Oryzias latipes: one gene and its partners. The protein of the gene in region 4 interacts with the protein of the main gene of each other region in a biochemical or structural test. Links are inferred from orthologs where the notes say so. Each region holds a gene or a part of one and is shown on either strand. Other genes may lie near its edges.

Region 1 (4,084 bases), about 19 Mb from region 4:
AAACCCGCCCCATCCCCTCCCCGTTGTAAAGCGGGGCGCTTGTTGCCCACCACATGAATCTCATCACAAAGCTCTTTTTTTCATCTGAATATAGAATTACCGCTCATTGACTATCGCAGTTTACGTTTCAGTCTGTGTGGATATTTTTCATTGGAATCTTTTTTTTTTTTTTAATCGCAGGTTATTTTTGGAACGTAAATTTGAGCTTAGTTTTCTTTTATGCCCTTCATCAGAAAAAGGCACTAGAGCACGTTGAAAACACCAGAAAACAAGATTTTCATCAGAGTGGGTCTTTAGGAAGTATTCTGTCATGTGTGGAATTTAACAAATAGATGAAACTCATTTTTCTAACAGCTTCCACAATAAACTATGGTAAAGAGAAGTCAAACATTTTGGTGGTGATTTAATTTACACTGAAGATTCGTGTCCTTAAAGAGGGTTACTGCGCTGTCAACATCAATGTGATTTAAAGTCAACTGTATTAAAAAAACAAAAACACAAATGAAAGGTTAATTCCCAGTTTTTTTCCATTTATTATTTCAAACTTTTTACCTTACAAGCTCACCATTTAATTACAACATACTAAAACAAAAGTGTGGAAAATAATACAAGCCGCTGGGATTGAAGAAGCAGTGAAATTGATTCTTGCAGGAAGTGAGCGGCAGGCCGACTCAATGTCCATATCTGTGAAAACATGACAAACAGCTTAGCAATGTCTAAAGCAACAACTTTAAAGAAAATCGTACTTTCAGAAATGTAATCAATAAAACTACATGACATCAATCAAACTTACTTCTGAAACTCCCACTCTCTGTTATCAAGGGGACACACTTGTCTGGTTTTCAACCAGCGGGAAATACAATGGAAATGGAATGCATGCTAAAAGAAGACAAACAGGTGAAAAAGAAATTAGAAATGTTAAGGGCTTTAGCTCTAAATGCTCATATTGGTATCCATCATTTCATCTTCCAGAAAACACACAGATAATCTGAGTCTTCCATCAATTTAATTGGAAACTTACATTGCAGACCCCCCAGGCTACTGTGCATTCCTCTGAGGTTGCAGATGCTTGGTTGGCTTGACATTCTATGCCTGATCAAGAAAACATGCAACGTGTCACAGAAATCTAAACTTGTTGGGAGAAGAAGGGCTTGTAGAAGCTTAGAAGTACTCATTCTGCTAAAAGTTTGAAGTCAAAATGAAGACAGGAAGCTATCAGAGAATGCATTAAAGTGAACTCACAGAGATCCATGATGTGGTTTCTACAGATGGCGCAGTTATCCACAACAATGTCCCAGGCCCACAGCGCCACAGCATTCCACTGAGGGGGACAGAACAATCAGATGAGCACATGTTTAATCTATGTTACCCAGGATTATATACACCAGTTAAATGTTTTAGAACGTTCCAACGTTTCCAGACTTTTTTTTAACCATATCTAGCATAATGTCTTGTAATACTTTGAATGGAAAGGATCGAAAGAAATAAGCAACTGGAATTACAAAAAGAAAACAAAATATAGTTGTTAAACATGTCCACTGATCGGAATGTTAAAACATTTTAGGGAAATCAAAAATATTAGCATTTCCTTCCTGCCATTTTTGATAGACATGGCTGATATAAAGAACATGTTCCTGAATTATTTTCTTGTTTTTGGTCATCATGACACTTTTTTTCCCCCCATTTTAAAAATAGTTGACAGGAAAGATTTAGTGCTTCCTTTTACAGTAAAGATAAATATATCAAATTGCACCTGTCAGGTGCACAAATCAGATAAGCACTTTTAAGGGAATATATATATATATATATATATATATATATATATATATATATATATATATATATATATATATATATATATATATAAAACTTTATAGCAATAATCTAAAGAAATCGGTTAACATGTGAAATACACGAACAAAAATTTAAAATTAGAGAAAAAGATGATGTGCTGCTAGATCTTGAAACCTCAGCTTTATGCTAAGCTAAATTAGCATCCGAATAGCACAAAAATAAAACAAATATTAAAAGAATTAAGATTATAGCTCTCGTTACCATTTCAAAAACGCTGTTTTTCTGTTACGCTCGACTGAAGGTAATCTTGTAAATATCACAACATGGTCTAAGTTATGACATTATTTAGAAATGCACATTCATTTTCGTTAAGCAAGCTAACTTTATGCTAGGCAACATCGAACATGCTAATAGGAGTCGTTAACCAGCTAGAGGAGGTTAAAACAGACAGGGCTCCTTTGTTCTTCTTTTATATAGCAAACGTGTTTGACCAATCCAGAGTTGACCAGGTAATAAATAAAATCAGACCTTTTTAACTTCGAAGCGTTTCTTGCTTGAGCCACTGTTAGCACCACTCGGTGTGTCAACGTCCATCGCTGCTGCCATCTTGAAACGTCGTCTGTACAAAGCCGTCCGGATGTAGCAACAGTCTCAGTCGGTTAAGTTCATTAACTTAACCGACTGAGACGGGAAAGACGAAATAAAATAACAACCAAAACATGAATTTCATTTAAAAATTAAATAAATTAATTAATAAATAAGCACAACTTTAAAGAAGATAGTAAGTGATTCCATAGACGAGGGTGGAAGAAAAATCTCAGGTCCCACCGAGATTTGAACTCGGATCGCTGGATTCAGAGTCCAGAGTGCTAACCATTACACCATGGAACCATGTTGAAGCCACAGCCAAGAATTATTAAGGTACCATCAAGACACCGATCACACGTTCAATTCGAATATTGTTAGAATTCTATCTACTAAACAGGTTAACTACATTTTTGCAGCTTAACAATTTCTTTAAAAAGAAAAATTTAAAAACAGGAACTTCTTCATTCATCAAAACGGTGAATATAACGGGTTTTAAAAATTATTAGCATCCTGCCGTAAATGATTTAATGCTAAGTTAACTTACAGGCCTACTTTTTGTGTTCCGTGCTATTTATTATTTGAAAATAAAATAATTGACAGACACTTTAATGTTTGACGATTGTTGAGGTGAACAGGGGTTCCATAATATTTTCTATGTTCTTTTAAATATGCATTACAGGGGTTCTATTATATGTTGTATTTTCTTGTTATTATAATGGATTCTATTTTTGCATGTATATTGTACTGCACAAATATGCTTGATTCCTGCCCTCAGTAGCAGATAATATGTGACGAGGTCACCAGTAGGCCTGTTTTTGACTTGCAGTCTCTGCTTTCTTTCTGTACTGGAGTGTTTATGGAGCCATAACAGCTGCAATGCAGACTAGACAGAAACACACCATTCTACTGACGTATTTTGTATGTTTTCATCTTCCCTTACTTAATAATAAAAAACGCCTTTTTGCCTTGAGGACAGAGAGAGCGGACAGCCACAGAGCCTAACAGGTCATGTTTTTCCAACTCTCCGTTTTTGCAAAAGGTTTGAGAATTCATGCAAACTCTTGTGTCTTTTCGTTTCCCCAACTGCACATTTCATTTTTGGACGTCCTGAACCATCCGAATCCGCGAAGGCCGGACAGGAGGCCAACAGGATCAATAAACTTATATATTTTGTGACTTTTAATATTTTTTGAAAAGTTGTATTCTGTTGTTTAGAGTAGCTTTGCCTACAAAATATGAAGATAGTGCACACAACATGTTGTATGAAGCAGTTTTAATAAAAAAACAAAAAAGTTGAACTTTTTCCCAAACAAAACTCTTTGTAAAGAAACCACCAAAACATGATTCATTTTATTATAATGCCATCTTGTTCATGGTCTTTTTTGGAGTCCCAGATTTTTTTTGTAACCTTTTCTTAGATGATTTGCTTAGTTTCGACTTCGCAGGTCTAGTTTTCACTTTGGGGGGCTTCAAAGAACCTGGTTTGGTTATTGTAGAAAGTTTCGGCTCCCTGCTGCCCTCCTGCTTAATGGAGGCGTTTTCTGAGCAGGATGCGAAGACATTAATGTCTCTGACTTGCTGACCTCTGAGGTCAGGAGGGTTACCGCAAGTCGCTGTAACTTCAAATCTCACACTCTCCATCCACCTGAAACACAAAGATAGTACACAAAAACACAAAAAAAGTTATGTGAGCTTACTGACC
Region 2 (3,515 bases), on a different chromosome or scaffold from region 4:
TTTAAAACATACAATCCAACTTATTCACAACTGTTTTAATATAAATTGAGCCATGATTTCCGACAGGCGAAGGGAAATGCCAACAATAACAACAAAGAAAGGAAACTTAAAAAAAAAAAGAACCTTCTTGCTGTTCAAAGTCTGCTTTAAAAGGGACATCAAGCAAAAATATTAGAATTATAAGGATTGCCGATGTGTGTGTGACTTTTTTTTTTTAACTATAGGTAAAATTCATCTCAAAACTCAGTTTATTCTTCACAAATAAAGGATCAAAACTGACCAATTAGGTTTGAATTTCTCCACCTGTATTGTTTTCACAGAAACGCTGCAGACTTTCCCTTGAAGACTGAACAAATATCTCTAAAACAGGTTTGCCGTTTTTTTTTTTTGACATGGCTGTTCTGAGAAAAGAGATGAGGTTCTAGAAAGAACCACCTCAAAGTTCAATAGAGCAGAACAGGTATGCACTACTGTTCCGTTTAGCTGGCGGCATCTTTATTGAAAAAAATGAATTAGGGGCCCGGTAAGATGAAACGCTTCCTCACAATAGCAGAGGACCTGAAATATATCTGGTATAAACAAATATATTCATTCTAAATCAAGCGATACTGCATCCACTTACACTCTTACAGAAGGATCTTGAGAATAAATAAGCTAGGTTTCTTCTTCAGTATAGACATTTTTTCCATCTTGCAAGCACTTAATGAAAGATTATAATAAAAATACAAAACAACTGAGCAGAGTTACAAAAAAATAAAAATAAAGGAATAACTGCAGCTGTAGAAAAATAAAAAACTCAAAAAAATCTGCAGCAACAGTTTGGTTCTCCTGAGTGGTGACTGTTTGCTTCCTCTTCTCATAAATGTGACAGCAGTTGAACAGTGATCAGAAATTTAATTTTAATCGACCTAGAAAAAGAGTACATTCCAGATTTTCCAGGAAAATAAAAAGTTACCAAAAATGAATCGCTTTTTATAAAATGAAGTTTGCTTTACTTTATTTCTTAACTGGAAGGAAGTTTGTTAGCCAATAAAATAATAATAAATCCCAACAGCAGTTTGAGTGACAGCTCTATCAGCAACTTTTGGTGCCACAGTAGCTTTAAGGAACCTTACCCTCAGTGCTTGCTATTAATTTGTGCCTTTCGTAGCTTAATTTTTTAGAATAAAGTTTTTTCCCTTCAAAATTACCTAATAAAGATATTTGGAATGGTTCCCAACAGTGACCGGCGCAGGTAACTGTGGTCCTTGACAGAAGAACGGACCTGTGCATCACATTGGAGGAACAATAACCTTCAAAAAATGGAATGGTTGCTAAATTAGGAGAAATAAACTGAAGACTACTGGCTTTGATTTGCTGCTGGCTTTCTTTTAAATACCAGCTTTTAATGCTGTGTTGCAACATCTATAATTTGTCAGTAAAGTAATGAGCCTTCAGCAGCTGGCAGGGAAACAGCAAAGGAAGAAGAGGACGCCACTGCTGATGCTAAAGTGTGCACATTCATCTGCACGCAATTTAAACACAACATCAACCCAAAACGTGATGTATCAAAGCTTCTCAGAATTATAAAATGCACACATAGCAGTGAAAACTACAAAACAGTTTAAGAGTATGTTTTAAATCAATCATCAAATACATTTGCAACCATGATGAAATGTACTGGCCTATTGGAGATCATTGTAGACTGAATACATTGCGTGATTTTTAAAGAATTTTTATGATGGTTCAGAAATCAAATATTTAAGTTTGTACAAATAAGCATTCTGTCCCTCACAGACCGGTTACTTTTTCTATAAGAAGCTCTTGTATCTCCCACTCATTGCCTGTATTAATGTCACCTGTCTGAACTGGTTATCTGTATAAAAGACACCAGTTCACAGCCATAAACAATTACACTGGAAAGGCCACAAGAGCTGTCTAAAGCCACCAGGGGCACAACTGTAGACTTGAACAAGACTGGGATGAACCAGTCTACAATAAACAAGCAGCTTGATGAGACGAGCTCAATTGTTGGTGCAATTATTCGAAAATAGAAGATAAACAAGATAATTGACAATCACCGTCCACCTAGAGCTTCCTGCAAAATCGTACCTATTTGGGTACAAATGAGTTTGAGAATGGTGAAGAAACGATTCTTGTGAACTGGTCAATGAGAGAGCTGGGACCACACTAACACACTACATCAGCCATACTGCACTACATCAGCCACACTGCACTGCATGATCCACAGGAGGATTGGGAGAAGATTGTGTGGTCAGAAAAAAAATATATATATTTATATAGTTCCATGGTATACATGTTGCTCTCCTTGTTTGGAAGAAAAAGAATGCTTAGTTGCATCTCAAGAACATCGCATCATACATTGCTCATGTGTCCACCCACATGCTTCACAGTGGGTGGACACATGAGCAATGTATGGTGAGATTTTGATCAAAAATCCAAATTCCATCAGTGAGGGCACTGATGGAATTTACAGAAAACTCATTTCAGGGTATTGGAGTGACCTAACTAGCCTCTAGACTCTTTGTGTCCAACAGAGAATCTGTGGAAAAGTTGAAAGTCTGTGTTGCTCAGCGACAGCACCAAAACATCACAGCTCTTGAGAAGATCTGCATGGAAGAATGGAACAAAAAGCAGCTACCGTCCAAGTCTGGTTAAAGACATCCAGGGGACATTTAAACTGACATTGCCAACCAAGATTTAAGCACTGAAATGAACTTTTGTAGTCAGAATACTTATTATACGAACTAATTGTTTAAAACTCATACAATGAATCCCTGGATTCTTCTTTTTAACATTATGTCTCTCACCTATGATGAACATTACAGACCCTGTCTTTTTAGGTGGACAAGTCACAGGTGACTGAAAAATACTATTTGTCTCATTGTGTTTACTTGTCTAGAGCTGTACAGTCACAACTCCTGTGAACAAAAATCACTGATGGTGGGAGAGCAGCCATACAAGGGAACTAGCCAGACCACCAGGAGCAAAGTAGGGTCCCATGTCTTGCCCAAGGACACTGACATTTATAGGCAGGTAAAGCAGGAACTAAACCCACAATCTTACAAACCAATCAGAGGTCACCAGCTCAACCTCATGGCACAGAGGTTGAGCTGCTGATCCAAAAAAAGAAAAGTTTCTATGATAGAGAAAAAAAACAACAACACATAAATCATTAGCTTTTCTAACTCATTCCTTACCTTGTAAACTTGCACATAGTGGCTGCTTGAAACCTCCAGGCAAGAACCAGAACACGAAACTCAGCTGGGTCCACACACAAATCATTGCAAAATCTCTCCATGCCTTCTTCCAATATGGCATCTTCCTGTTCATCCTTGTAGCAACAGAAGAGCTCCTCGATACGCCACATGGACAATCCATCTCCATTCACACGATCATCTTTGAGGGACTCCCCCATCAGTGATGGGAGGATGGGTGTCTCCACTGTAACATCAGGGGTTTTGGTGCCATTTGAAAGCTCACTGGTGGCTTTGCTACATGGAGCACTCAGCTCT
Region 3 (4,058 bases), on a different chromosome or scaffold from region 4:
ATCTAAAAGATGCTGCAACAACAACAACAACAAAAAAAGAAAGTATGACAGAAATACACAAAACATGCCTCATCTTTGTTATAACGACAAATTGTAAAAGATGTACTGTGTTGTTTCAAATCAATACAAAAACTGTTAGCAGGACTCACTAGCTTGTCCAGTTTTTCTGAAACTGCCCCGAGATCTGCCAGACTGCTTAAGTCGTTTCTAAAAATCACACAAACAGCAACTGTTAGCTGGAACTATAAAACTGCAAGCTTTATTGCAACTTAAAACTAGCAGAATGAAAAGAGGCTGCCTTAAAACGCTTTATTTGTGTTAAATTTGTGCTAAATCTAAAGGGTTCAATTATCTTTTGATCTATTGTCAAAGCGTTCATAGTGTTCTTTGAATTATGATTATGCAATTTTTAGCCAAAATCAATTAACCTCCGTTGTTTTCAAGTTCATAGTTTCTATGAGCGGCAGGAGTTCATTAGAAATTCCCTTCTTAGTTGTGGGCAGGACTGTAGGCACGGAGCAACCCCGCTCCCCCTATTGCTGAGAGCTTTCTGTTTACATTATATTGAGGTAGTTTACAGCCCTTCACACAAACAGCCCAACATTACAGGTGAAACAAAAAAGGCAAAAAATATTGAAGCTACCCAGACAGACAGTTTTGAGCCAGATCTCAGCTCGAACGAGAAAAACAAAGACGTCTGACGATCTGAACATCTATACGTGGATGCATCAGGATGGAGCTTTCTACGCCACAAAAGATATTTTCAAACAGTTTTTTTTTGTCTTCTCCTGATTCACAACTTCTTCTTTCACTGTCGGCTTCTCCCATCAGGGGTCGCCACAGCGAAACAACCCTCCCTGGAGGATGAATCGCATGGTTAACTTGGCAATGTTTTACGCCGGATGCCCTTCCTGACGCAACCCTCTCAATCCCACCAGGCTTGGGACCAGCACAGGAGCAGAGAAGGGAATAGGGAGCAGCCCGGAACTGAACCAAGGTTTCACGAACGACAACAATTTGACTAAAAATAAATACTCAGAAATGCAACTTTGAGCTTCACTTTCATAATAGGAGAATGAATGCCACAAGAGCATGTTAAAATCACCAAAACCCCAATTCTCATCAGGGTAAGTCTTTAAATATCAAACAGAGAAAAGCACTGAACCATACCATAACCCTAAAAATAAGACTCCAAGAGCTTTGTATCTTCAAAAAGAAAAAAAAAAAGCTAAACCATCAATTCACAAAGTACCATATAGTCATTCTGTTTTTAAAATCTGGTCTTTCAAATAGATTCAAAGATATTAAATAATGTAAAAAGCATGCTCTATAACGTAACTAAACAACATTTATTTTTAGATATCTGCCTTACTGCAGTTGAAAGTTAACATTAGTGTCAAATTTCACAAAATACCAGCAAAACAGAAAGAATATTGACAGTTACATTTTATAAAAGGATTGAGGAAAAGGTCAATCATACAGAGGCTTAAGTCAGCCGGTCCCTTAAAGAACAAAAACCTCCTATGTATTTACAGTATGTACACTCACAACACCACATGTGTATTTAAACCCCAGCCACAGGTCACAATGATCCGAAAACTCCTTTTTCATTTTGTTTTTGTTCAAGTAACATGTCATCACTTGACATGTAATCCAGATATAGAAGTCATACAAGGCTCCTATTGGGTTAAAAATAAGTCAAAGTCTTTTACTGTGACATCGGTTGGTTCAAATATTGACTTTACAGCTGTGATTACCAGTTTCATGTCTGCAGGTCATAATCGGAATACCTTATTGTCGTTACACGTTAGAACAAGCAAATCACAGCGTGACATTGGATTTTCACACCAATGTTTCTGCCATGATTTACTCCCTAAAAGCCTTTGGAGCAGGGTGACAGACTGGCCCCTCAAACTGGAACATGTGGACATTTGGATTCATGGCGTCCAGTACAACACATACACATACATGTACGCGCACACATATACGCACACACACGTCTCAACCAAATATGATCCAAACTGTTGAAGAATGAACTTCCTTTCGAATTTCATACGTTAACCGTTAAAACGCTAACCTTAAAAGAAACTGCGTCACTATTCATTTGATTTGGCATTCCCCCCCCCCCCCCCTAAATACAAGCACAGAGGTCACGCTGAAAGTACAAATTTTGCAATTTTTTTGTGTTCATAATAAAGACAATACAAAACTCCTAGTAGGGGCTGAAGACCGAAATGCTTAGATTCAATACTGCAGCGTACAGCACCCTACTGCTGTCGTAGCTTAGCTAACATTAGCTTCGCGTCTAACCTCAACACGGGGGAATGAAAAAAATCAAGTTTACCAGCAACAAGTGAGTTTTTTCGACTAAAAAGTCATTAAAAAACAACTACGAGACAGACAGACGTTTGTTGGTGTCCCCAACGTATGACAAATAATCAAATCTGGGTCTCAACAGACTTCTTTTGTTTGGTAGCTAAGGCTAACGGCTCCTCGGTGCTACTCTACACTATAGTCGGCTATTTTATTAACTGATGTGTCGTACATTTACACAATATAATCGTATGATTGATTAAATATAAAAAAGAGGTCTACGTTAAAAACCAATGAGTCATTAAATGAAATCATTGAACCAATTTTAAACACTTACGTTGCTCAGGTCTCGTATGACACAGATTCCACCTGCTTCTAATAGGTTTCTTCTTTAGCCGGTATCCCGGCGTTTCTGTGGGAGTGGGCAGTACCATTTTGTTGCAGGGGTGTACTGCGAAATAAATACTTACTGGTTTGAAATAAAACTAAATCAGTTCATCTTTATCAAATGACACGTGTAAAAACAAAATACACTAAGATAAGAGCAGAAAATATATTTTAAAAAATTATGTAAAAAAAGTAAGCGCTTTGAACAAAAACAAAAGACGTTCCCCTACAAGAAACAAGTTGGAACGTGCAATAAATCTTAAAGGGGCCCAGACCCTTTTCACTGATTTATTGGAGACCTGACATGACTGAAAAATTAAACTGATTTCAATTGGTTGAGTTTTTTTTTACTCAATTCTAAACCAGGGATTGTGTATGTATTTAGTATCAGAGATCCACTCATCTCTGAATATCAGAGTATCTGTTATTAATTTTTATTATCATGTCTGTCACTAGCAAGACTTAGAGAAAACTACTCACACATTTTATTTACACTTTTCATATAAAACAGTTTCTGTATTTAATAGGAAGCAGATTATTTTACCCTGAGACCATATCTGGGGGACACTGGGGACTACTACTATGTCCAATATGTTGTCAAGATTGTGTTTTGGAGGATTTGTGGTGCCCCACTGAGGTTTTACGTTGACGTATGAATGTACAAAACTGTTTTCTATTAATTCAGATGAGTAAATTTTAAATATGTAATCCTCCAACCTTCAGTGGACAGTAATGTCACTTCTTAACACCCCAAATGAAGAACTTACATGAAAAATTTCCTACTTCTGTGGACATCTCTAATTATATTTATGTTTATTTAACTATATTATACCAATTGTAGGCAAGCTACAGTCAGGTCCATAAATATTGGGACAGCGACACAATTCCTACATTTTTGGCTCTATACACCACCACAATGGATTTGAAATGCTGGGACTTGCTGTCCCAATGTTTATGGACCTGACTGTATTAATCACTAATATCAACATTTTTTATTTAAATAAAAACCTCATAAGGAAAATTCTTTAGTAGTGATCCGTTTTCTGTAATCTAGATATACTTTCAAAATGCAGTTACCCTAAAGAAAAGAAATCTTTCTGCAACTACTAAACCTGCCAGAAATCATCTGATAATGTCACTTTCTTTTAGAACAGGGTGATATTCAAACAACAATCATCAAACCTTCAGTAAATGTAGAATAAGGGCTGTAATGTGACATAGGAAACCACACACATTCCAAAAGTGACCTTTATGTGTTGGATCTGCGAATTTATGCAGACAAAAAGAGGGTAACTGACACACAGTATTAGGGCTATATGAACATCAAAATAGCTCAAACTGTGTGAAGACAGCCTTTG
Region 4 (4,139 bases):
GTTCTTTAACCGTTCTACGGTGGAGAACCTTCTGGTCCAGTTCCAGCTGGAGTCTGAATCAAAGCAGGCAGAAGACCCGCCTCCACCGGTTCCAGGTTCTCTACGTTGGGCTGATCCCACTGGGTCCACTGTTCCCTAGCAGAACCGCTCTTCCAGATTGCTCCTAGATTTAGCTACGGAATGGGGGGGCAGCTAAGGCGTCCCCTTATCCAAATACGCCCCGCCCACTGACAGGAGTTTCCCAGTTGGGAGGGGCCCAGTGGGTGACCCTCCTGCAGTATGATTGGCTGACCAGCAGACCCCCCCCCCTCCCCCAGATCATGTGACGTGTCTTACTAGAAAGAGATACTGCAGACCGTAGATGATGGAGTTTATCGTCAGAACCGGCTTCCAGTCCTCTCTGTGGAGCAGAAGAGCACACATGAACCTCCAGAACCCCCCCCCCCCCCCCTCGCTGTTCGGATCTCCGGTTCTGAAGAACTGACCTGAGGATGTTTAGACAGACGTTTCCTTCCAGGTCAATGTTGGGGTGGTACACCATCGTCTCACACTTCACTTTGGGGGGGTCGTGGGGGTAACCCTGTCCTACCTGAAACACAAACTCTTATGATGTCTGCGAGCAGAGAAGGGGCGGGGCCAAATGACGCGTTTGCTGACCTTAAAGCTGAAGACGAACTTCCCTCCTTTGTAGAAACCCTGAGACAGAAACACAGGTTAGCTGCAGGATGCTGCCCCCTCCATGCCCCCCACTCTGCCTCAAAACCCCAATGTTGTGACATGGCTGTGGGGGGGCCACAGCTGAAGCAGCCACTTACAGGGCAGCACTACAAAATATGGAATCTATGAAGCATGGTGGCGGAGGACTAATGGTATGGGCTCAGAGCCTCCACCCCCAGAGTAATCAGAGTACTCTGGTATGACAGGCAAGGCTCAAACCCATGACACGCCCAGCCCCCCTGGAGACCCGTCTACCAAAAACTGGTTTTGCCTGCGACTGGATCCGACCAGCACCGCAGTGCCACATGAGTGTTCCGCCTGACAGCCCGCACTCTGGGTTTAGCTCTCTGTCTGTCATCTGTCTGCAGTTTAAATAAAGTTTTACATGAGGTCCCTGACGTGAACACAAGCAGCAGCAGGACTTTGACCAATCATCTCAGGGGAGAAGAATCACGGAGTGGATTCATGAGGAACATGATGATGAACAATCATGAAGAATTCCTTCTTTTTGCTTCCACTTGGTTTGAAATTCCCTCCGGGAGTTCAACAGGATACCTGGCTTTTATTCTGAAAATCCAGGTTAACTGCTGCTCTTTGAAATGCTCCAGAATCCAGCAGGAACACGAGGAACCTCGGCTACATGATGTCCATCTGTGGTCACATGACCCCCCCCCCCCCCCCCCACACACACACAGCCGAGTGTAAACGTGAACGTCTGCACTGCTAGGAATCAAACACGCACCTCATCCGGCGAGATGATGAGCCTGAAGTTGAGTAGGTCGTCATCGTCGGGGAAGCTGATCTCGCACGTCTTTGGCAGGTTCAGCTCGTTGATGTCTGGAACACAAACACCTGCCGTTCAGGATCCTTCTCTTCATCACAGGACAGCACCTGGAGGGTGCACCTGGAGGGCGCACCTGGAGGGTGCACCTGGAGGGCGCACCTGGAGGGTGCACCTGGAGGGTGCACCTGGAGGGCGCACCTGGAGGGTGCACCTGGAGGGCGCACCTGGAGGGTGCACCTGCGCACCTGGAGGGTGCACCTGCGCACCTGGAGGGTGCACCTGCGCACCTGGAGGGTGCACCTGCGCACCTGGAGGATGCACCTGCGCACCTGGAGGGCGCACCTGGAGCCAGCCCCACCCTACCTGAAATAGCTTCTAGCTCTGGACATCATACTATGTTTGCATTTAGGCTCTGCTTAGACATTTCAGATTGGACAATTAAATCACCCGAGTCCCCCCCCCCCCCCCCCCCCCACTCCTCCTGTTTGGTTCTGGCCAACTTCACTCCAGATTTGCCCCCCTGTCCCCGGTGGAAGGCGTGTACCCCTTGTGCTATCCTAGGCACTTTAACATTGGGAGTGGGGTCATCTAGACCCACTAGACAGTGGGTCATCTAGACCCACTAGACAGAGCTCTGAACCTTTTTTCTTCAATGATTTGTGATCTTCACTGGTGTCCATGGATTACATGAAATCTTTCCACCTTTATCCACCTTTGTCATGGTAGGGAGAACACCTCAATGGAAGGAGGGGGGGGGGTCATCTGAGATAGCACAAGGGTTAACCCCCCCACAGCTGCTCATCACTTTGTTTTCGAGGTTAGCCGTGGCTAACAGCTAGCAGCTAGGTTAGCATGCTAGCCGTTAGCCGGAACTGTCGCCGCTGCCGGCCCGGACTTCCCTCCGTCCGGGGACCGGAGCTGCCTGAAAGCGCGCAGACAGCAGCAGGCCCTCCCGGAGGACCGGCGGCGGTCCCGGGCCGGTGCAGAGGAGGAGCCCACCTTTCTGTATTCGGAGCTGGGCCGCGCTGGCTTTCTTCCCCCCGGCTCCGGCTCTGTTTCCTCCAGCAGATTCCTCGTCTTTCTTCTGCTGCTTTAGAGAAAACAGCTTAATCATCTTCACCTTTTGATCAGGGGGGGGGGGCAAGCTAGCGAGCCTTCGGGTTGCGCGGTCCCTCCAGGTCGTCTGGGACTGTTCGGAGGTTCGGATCGGTCCTAACAGCACCGGAACGTGGACGAAGCCGGCGCGTCTGAACGGGTCTCTGAACGCGGCAGCTGCTAGCCTGCTAGCCTAGCCTGTTAGCGGGGGTGGGGGGTGGGGTGGGGGTGGGTGTCATACGGACCCCCCCCCCCCCCCTGCTGTGAAGAAGTTCACTGGAAAAAATGTAAACAGAGAAAAGTGTAATAAAGTTGAAAAACATTGAAATGTTTCTGTTCAGATTTGGATCGAGCTTTAATTTAAAACGATGGAATTTTTACAAATATAAATAAAAATAACAAAAACAGTAACAACAAAAACTTTGCATACTTTGGTATTAATTGTACTTTTGACATTTTGCGTTTATTACTTTAATAATAGTCATTTTATTCTCTGGGTAACATTTTTCTGTTTCAAAAATTACTTTTTTTTAATTGTATGTTTCCTTTTTTCTGGGATCCTGAAGTACTCATTTCTCTGTGCGCGTGCGTTTAGGGGGTGCGTGCTCGGAAATAGTAAATGGACAGTTTTATTGCTGTTAAATTCGTGCAACAGTGAATTGATATTTCCCATAATGCCCTTTTCCACCCACTTCCCTGTTGTGACGTCACCAACAGAGGTGGGGCGTACATGCTGTCGCTCCCCATTTTTATTTACTTCATTTATTTATTTATTTTGCTGTTGCGTCTCCCTCCCACTCTGAGGCGGCGTGTGCGGTCACCTGCGTGATGTAATCAGTGCGGAGGTTAAACGTGTCAGGGCGGCGCGCGGGCTCCGGATCACGCTTCTCACGCCAACACTAGGCGCGAGAACAATAGCCGCGCACAGCGCTCACGCCAGCGGCTCCTGGCTGCGGGGGTTTGTGCGGGAGCGAAAGGAGCGGCGCCTGCGTGATTGCGGGGAAGGACACGCGGAGAAGAAGGCGTAAGCTGCGGGTAGAGAGAGATAGATCCACGCTGCAGAGAGAGAGGCGGAGTGCACGCGCATCCATCCGAGGCCTGATCACCTGATCGATATCGATCAGTTTCAGATCGATGTTTGGGTCCCGCGTGCGTCTCTGAGGCGGGGAGGATGGGTCGCGCGTGAGGGCTCCGGGGCCGCCGCGGCAGAGAGGTGTGCGGGGGGGTGTGATAAGGAAGCGGCGGAGCTAACGGGGCTAACCGGAGCTAACGAGGCTACCGTCCATTCTGATGAGCCACAGACGAGCATGCGCGCCCCAACGAACAGGTGAGAGACCGTTCGCGTGCGTGCGTGCGTGCGTGTGTGTTTGAGGGAGAGGGAGGGGGGGTCCATCTGTCCCGGTCCCTCCGGGGCTTCTGCACCCGGTACCAGGGGGAGCAGCCGCGGGGGGGCAGACAGCCTGCTAACCTGCTAGCGCATTAGCATGCCTTTCCCTCGTGATCAGGTGAAGTGAGGGGTGGGGGCGGAGGGTCATCACAGGTG
Region 5 (2,826 bases), on a different chromosome or scaffold from region 4:
AAGGCTTCAGCAGAGCTCTTTCACTGTCAGCAAAACAAGGAAGTGACACTCTCTTCACTCTTCCTCCAAATAAAAGGCATTTTCAGAGATTTTGGCCGAATCCAAGTTGTTTTCCTACCCCTCTGGCTCCTCCCTATTGCTCCAATTTTAGGGCTATTTGGGACTTCAGTGGTGTCTAAAAGTGTTTTTTCTTAAGGAGGAGACGTAGTGACCCCGTGTTTGCTGTCCCTCCGCAGGTAGGGTGGTCTGCATCGCGCTGTGGCGCGAAGGAGAAAAGGGAAAGCGTTTCTTCCTGTGGGTGTGCTCGGAAGCACAGTGTAACCTTAAGTGTTAATTCAATTTACACTTAAATTTAAGTATTCCATTTTTATTTTTACACAACTTTTTAAATTTATAAAAGAGATGTTATGTATTTTACAAGCGCATTACCTACCGCCGACTATTGATGATGTCATCATTAAGTGGTAGTAATGTCGGAATTTAAAGACACTATTTTCCCATATCTCCACGCTTGGCAGGCTAAATGTTACGGTAGGGAGCAGCTGAAGGGGTAGGAAGGCCATTGGGGTTTGGCCTTGGTGTTCTGATCCATTTAATACGACAGAGTTTTAGGGCCACCAAAAAAAAAAAAAAAAAAAAAAAAAAAAAAGTAAAATTACGAGATTTTAAATCGTAGATTTACAAGAAAAAAACTCGTAATTTTACAAGATTAAAGTGGAGGTGAGCATACAGAGCAGCAAGTGAACGCCTCGCAGCAGCAGAGCAGACCGACTAAACGTAGTTGATCAGGTGAGCTGAATGTTTATTGATAACGTTCCAAATGTTTGGAAGCTCATTTGTTTGATTTATGATTTATTAACGTTTTATTTATTGATGGGGGGTTTGCAGGATCTCTGCAGCCGTTGATGAAGACATCGGTGTCCCTGCAGATGTCCACTTCAATCCTTCCGTCTGAGGAGCAGCATTTTTTGTCATTTTCAACGTTCTAATGCTAATACAACAGACTATTTTCATTCCTCTTTATTGTTTTAAGTTGAAACGGGACGTTTCATCTGGAGGAGGGGGCGTATGTTACACTGTTTACCTCTGCATTGGTGTTTGGATGACAGGTTCATGACGTAATGTGACAAATGAACTTCAGGGTTTGTGAATGAAAAGGAGAATAAAGGCTGCAGCGGTCCTCTACACCCAAACGTGTCTCTGAGCTCCTTATTTTACATATGAACCTCCGCTTTAGCGACACTGAACCCCAGAAAGACGGCTCCACTGACAATAATCTGATTTTGAGTCATCAAAAGGTTCAGAATCTCTTTTTTTTTTAAACCTTTCCAGAAATAAAGCTTCACAAAAGGTTCCACATATTTCATCTTCAAGTTAGGCTCCAATAAATGGAAAACTTTGGTGTTTTTTGCTCGGTAATCTATGACGTTTTTCTCGTAAATTTACGACTTTAAAGTCATAATTTGAAAAAAACATTTTTTTTGTAAACTGGCCCTAAATCTCCGTCGTAGTTTAAAGACCTGAAATGGAATGTGGAAAAGGCTTTAGTCAAACTCACCCGAGCAAAGTCAAAGGCGTATCTATAAATGAGCTTAAAACTAGTGCTGTCGTTCAGGACAGATCTCAAGTAGTCCAGGGAGTTCCTCAGCCTCTCTGTGGAGTCGCACCTGCAAACAAGAGTTTATGCAATCAGCTTACAGTCACAGAGAAAACACGGGAAATGGAGGTAAATCAGCTCCAGGAGGAGATCTGAAAGCCAATGAGGACAATGAAGAAATGCAGAAGTGACGTACTGAAGGGAGCTCATGCCTCTCAGCCACTCCTGCAGGGTGAAATATCCCATACTCTGGGCATCCAGCTTCCATGCAAGAACCAGCATCACCACCTGAGAAGAATCAGGAAACAGCCGATGCAGAGTTCAGATCAGATCACTGATGGCAGAATCATTTCCATGGTGAAGAGGAACCCGTTCACAACAGCCAACCAAGTGAACAACACTCTCCAGGAGGTAGGCGGATCAATATCCAAGTCTACCATCAAAAGAAGACTGCATGAAAGTAGATCCAGAGGGTACACTGCAAGATGCAAGCCACTCAGAAGCCTCAAGAATAGGAAGGCTAGATTGGACTTTGCTGAAGAGCACCTAAAAAAAGCCAGCACAGTTCTGGGAAAACATTCTTTGGACAGATGAAACCAAAATTAACCTCTACCAGAATGATGGCAAGAGAAAAGTATGGAGAAGACGTGGAGAAGCTCCTGATCCAAAGCACACTACATCATCAGTAAAACACGGTGGAGGCAGTGTGATGGTCTGGGCCTGCATGGCTGCTAGTAGCACTGGGACACTAGTGTTTATTGATGACGTGACACAGGACAGAAGCAGCCCAATGAATTCTGAGGTGTTCAGAGACAAACTGTCTGCGTAGATCCAGGTGAATGCAGCCAAACTGATTGGACGGCGTTTCATAATCCAGATGGACAACGACCCAAAACATACAGCCAAAGCAACTCAGGAGTTTATTAAAGCAAAGAAGTGGAATATTCTGGAATGGCCAAGTCAGTCACCTGATCTTAACCCAACTGAGCAGCATTTCACTTGTTGAAGACTAAACTTCAGACAGAAAGGCCCACAAACAAACAGCAACTGTTTGCCGCTGCAGTAAAGGCCTGGCAGAGCATTCAGAAGGAGAAAACCCAGCATCTGGTGATGTCCATGAGTTCAAGACTTCAGGCTGTCATTGCCAACAAAGGCTTTTCAACCAAATATTAGTAATGACCATTTGGTTTTCAGTTATTTCATTTGTCCAATTACTTATGAGCCCATGA

What was found.
Region 1: the proteins of ube2m (region 4) and rbx1 form a complex in vitro, tested with the Homo sapiens proteins (15 studies listed by BioGRID and IntAct, with this or other methods). The link is inferred for Oryzias latipes from reciprocal best matches to the Homo sapiens genes UBE2M and RBX1.
Region 2: the proteins of ube2m (region 4) and dcun1d3 form a complex in vitro, tested with the Homo sapiens proteins (4 studies listed by BioGRID and IntAct). The link is inferred for Oryzias latipes from reciprocal best matches to the Homo sapiens genes UBE2M and DCUN1D3.
Region 3: the proteins of ube2m (region 4) and DCN1-like protein 5 form a complex in vitro, tested with the Homo sapiens proteins (3 studies listed by BioGRID). The link is inferred for Oryzias latipes from reciprocal best matches to the Homo sapiens genes UBE2M and DCUN1D5.
Region 5: the proteins of ube2m (region 4) and dcun1d4 form a complex in vitro, tested with the Homo sapiens proteins (3 studies listed by BioGRID). The link is inferred for Oryzias latipes from reciprocal best matches to the Homo sapiens genes UBE2M and DCUN1D4.

The regions. Positions count from the first base shown.
Region 1 is NC_019866.2:19,409,118-19,413,201, forward strand, and holds rbx1 (E3 ubiquitin-protein ligase RBX1), read right to left. Parts: upstream 2,637-4,084; 5' UTR 2,401-2,636; coding exon 2,323-2,400; intron 1,322-2,322; coding exon 1,243-1,321; intron 1,093-1,242; coding exon 1,022-1,092; intron 880-1,021; coding exon 794-879; intron 685-793; coding exon 672-684; 3' UTR 507-671; downstream 1-506. Other genes in the region: chondroadherin-like protein, read right to left, coding at 3,736-4,027. UniProt on the Homo sapiens protein: E3 ubiquitin ligase component of multiple cullin-RING-based E3 ubiquitin-protein ligase (CRLs) complexes which mediate the ubiquitination and subsequent proteasomal degradation of target proteins, including proteins involved in cell cycle progression, signal transduction, transcription and transcription-coupled nucleotide excision repair.
Region 2 is NC_019877.2:9,527,792-9,531,306, forward strand, and holds part of dcun1d3 (DCN1-like protein 3), read right to left. Parts: coding exon 3,201-3,515; intron 1-3,200. UniProt on the Homo sapiens protein: Contributes to the neddylation of all cullins by transferring NEDD8 from N-terminally acetylated NEDD8-conjugating E2s enzyme to different cullin C-terminal domain-RBX complexes and may play a role in the cell cycle progression by regulating the SCF ubiquitin E3 ligase complex, after UV damage.
Region 3 is NC_019871.2:4,931,762-4,935,819, reverse strand, and holds the start of DCN1-like protein 5, read right to left. Parts: upstream 2,808-4,058; 5' UTR 2,651-2,807; intron 208-2,650; exon of another isoform or gene 150-207; intron 13-149; 5' UTR 1-12. UniProt on the Homo sapiens protein: Contributes to the neddylation of all cullins by transferring NEDD8 from N-terminally acetylated NEDD8-conjugating E2s enzyme to different cullin C-terminal domain-RBX complexes which is necessary for the activation of cullin-RING E3 ubiquitin ligases (CRLs).
Region 4 is NC_019866.2:195,051-199,189, reverse strand, and holds the start of ube2m (NEDD8-conjugating enzyme Ubc12), read right to left. Parts: upstream 2,805-4,139; 5' UTR 2,616-2,804; coding exon 2,501-2,615; intron 1,555-2,500; coding exon 1,460-1,554; intron 697-1,459; coding exon 658-696; intron 590-657; coding exon 486-589; intron 401-485; coding exon 337-400; intron 1-336.
Region 5 is NC_019862.2:1,336,472-1,339,297, reverse strand, and holds part of dcun1d4 (DCN1-like protein 4), read right to left. Parts: intron 1,886-2,826; coding exon 1,794-1,885; intron 1,668-1,793; coding exon 1,559-1,667; intron 1-1,558. UniProt on the Homo sapiens protein: Contributes to the neddylation of all cullins by transferring NEDD8 from N-terminally acetylated NEDD8-conjugating E2s enzyme to different cullin C-terminal domain-RBX complexes which are necessary for the activation of cullin-RING E3 ubiquitin ligases (CRLs).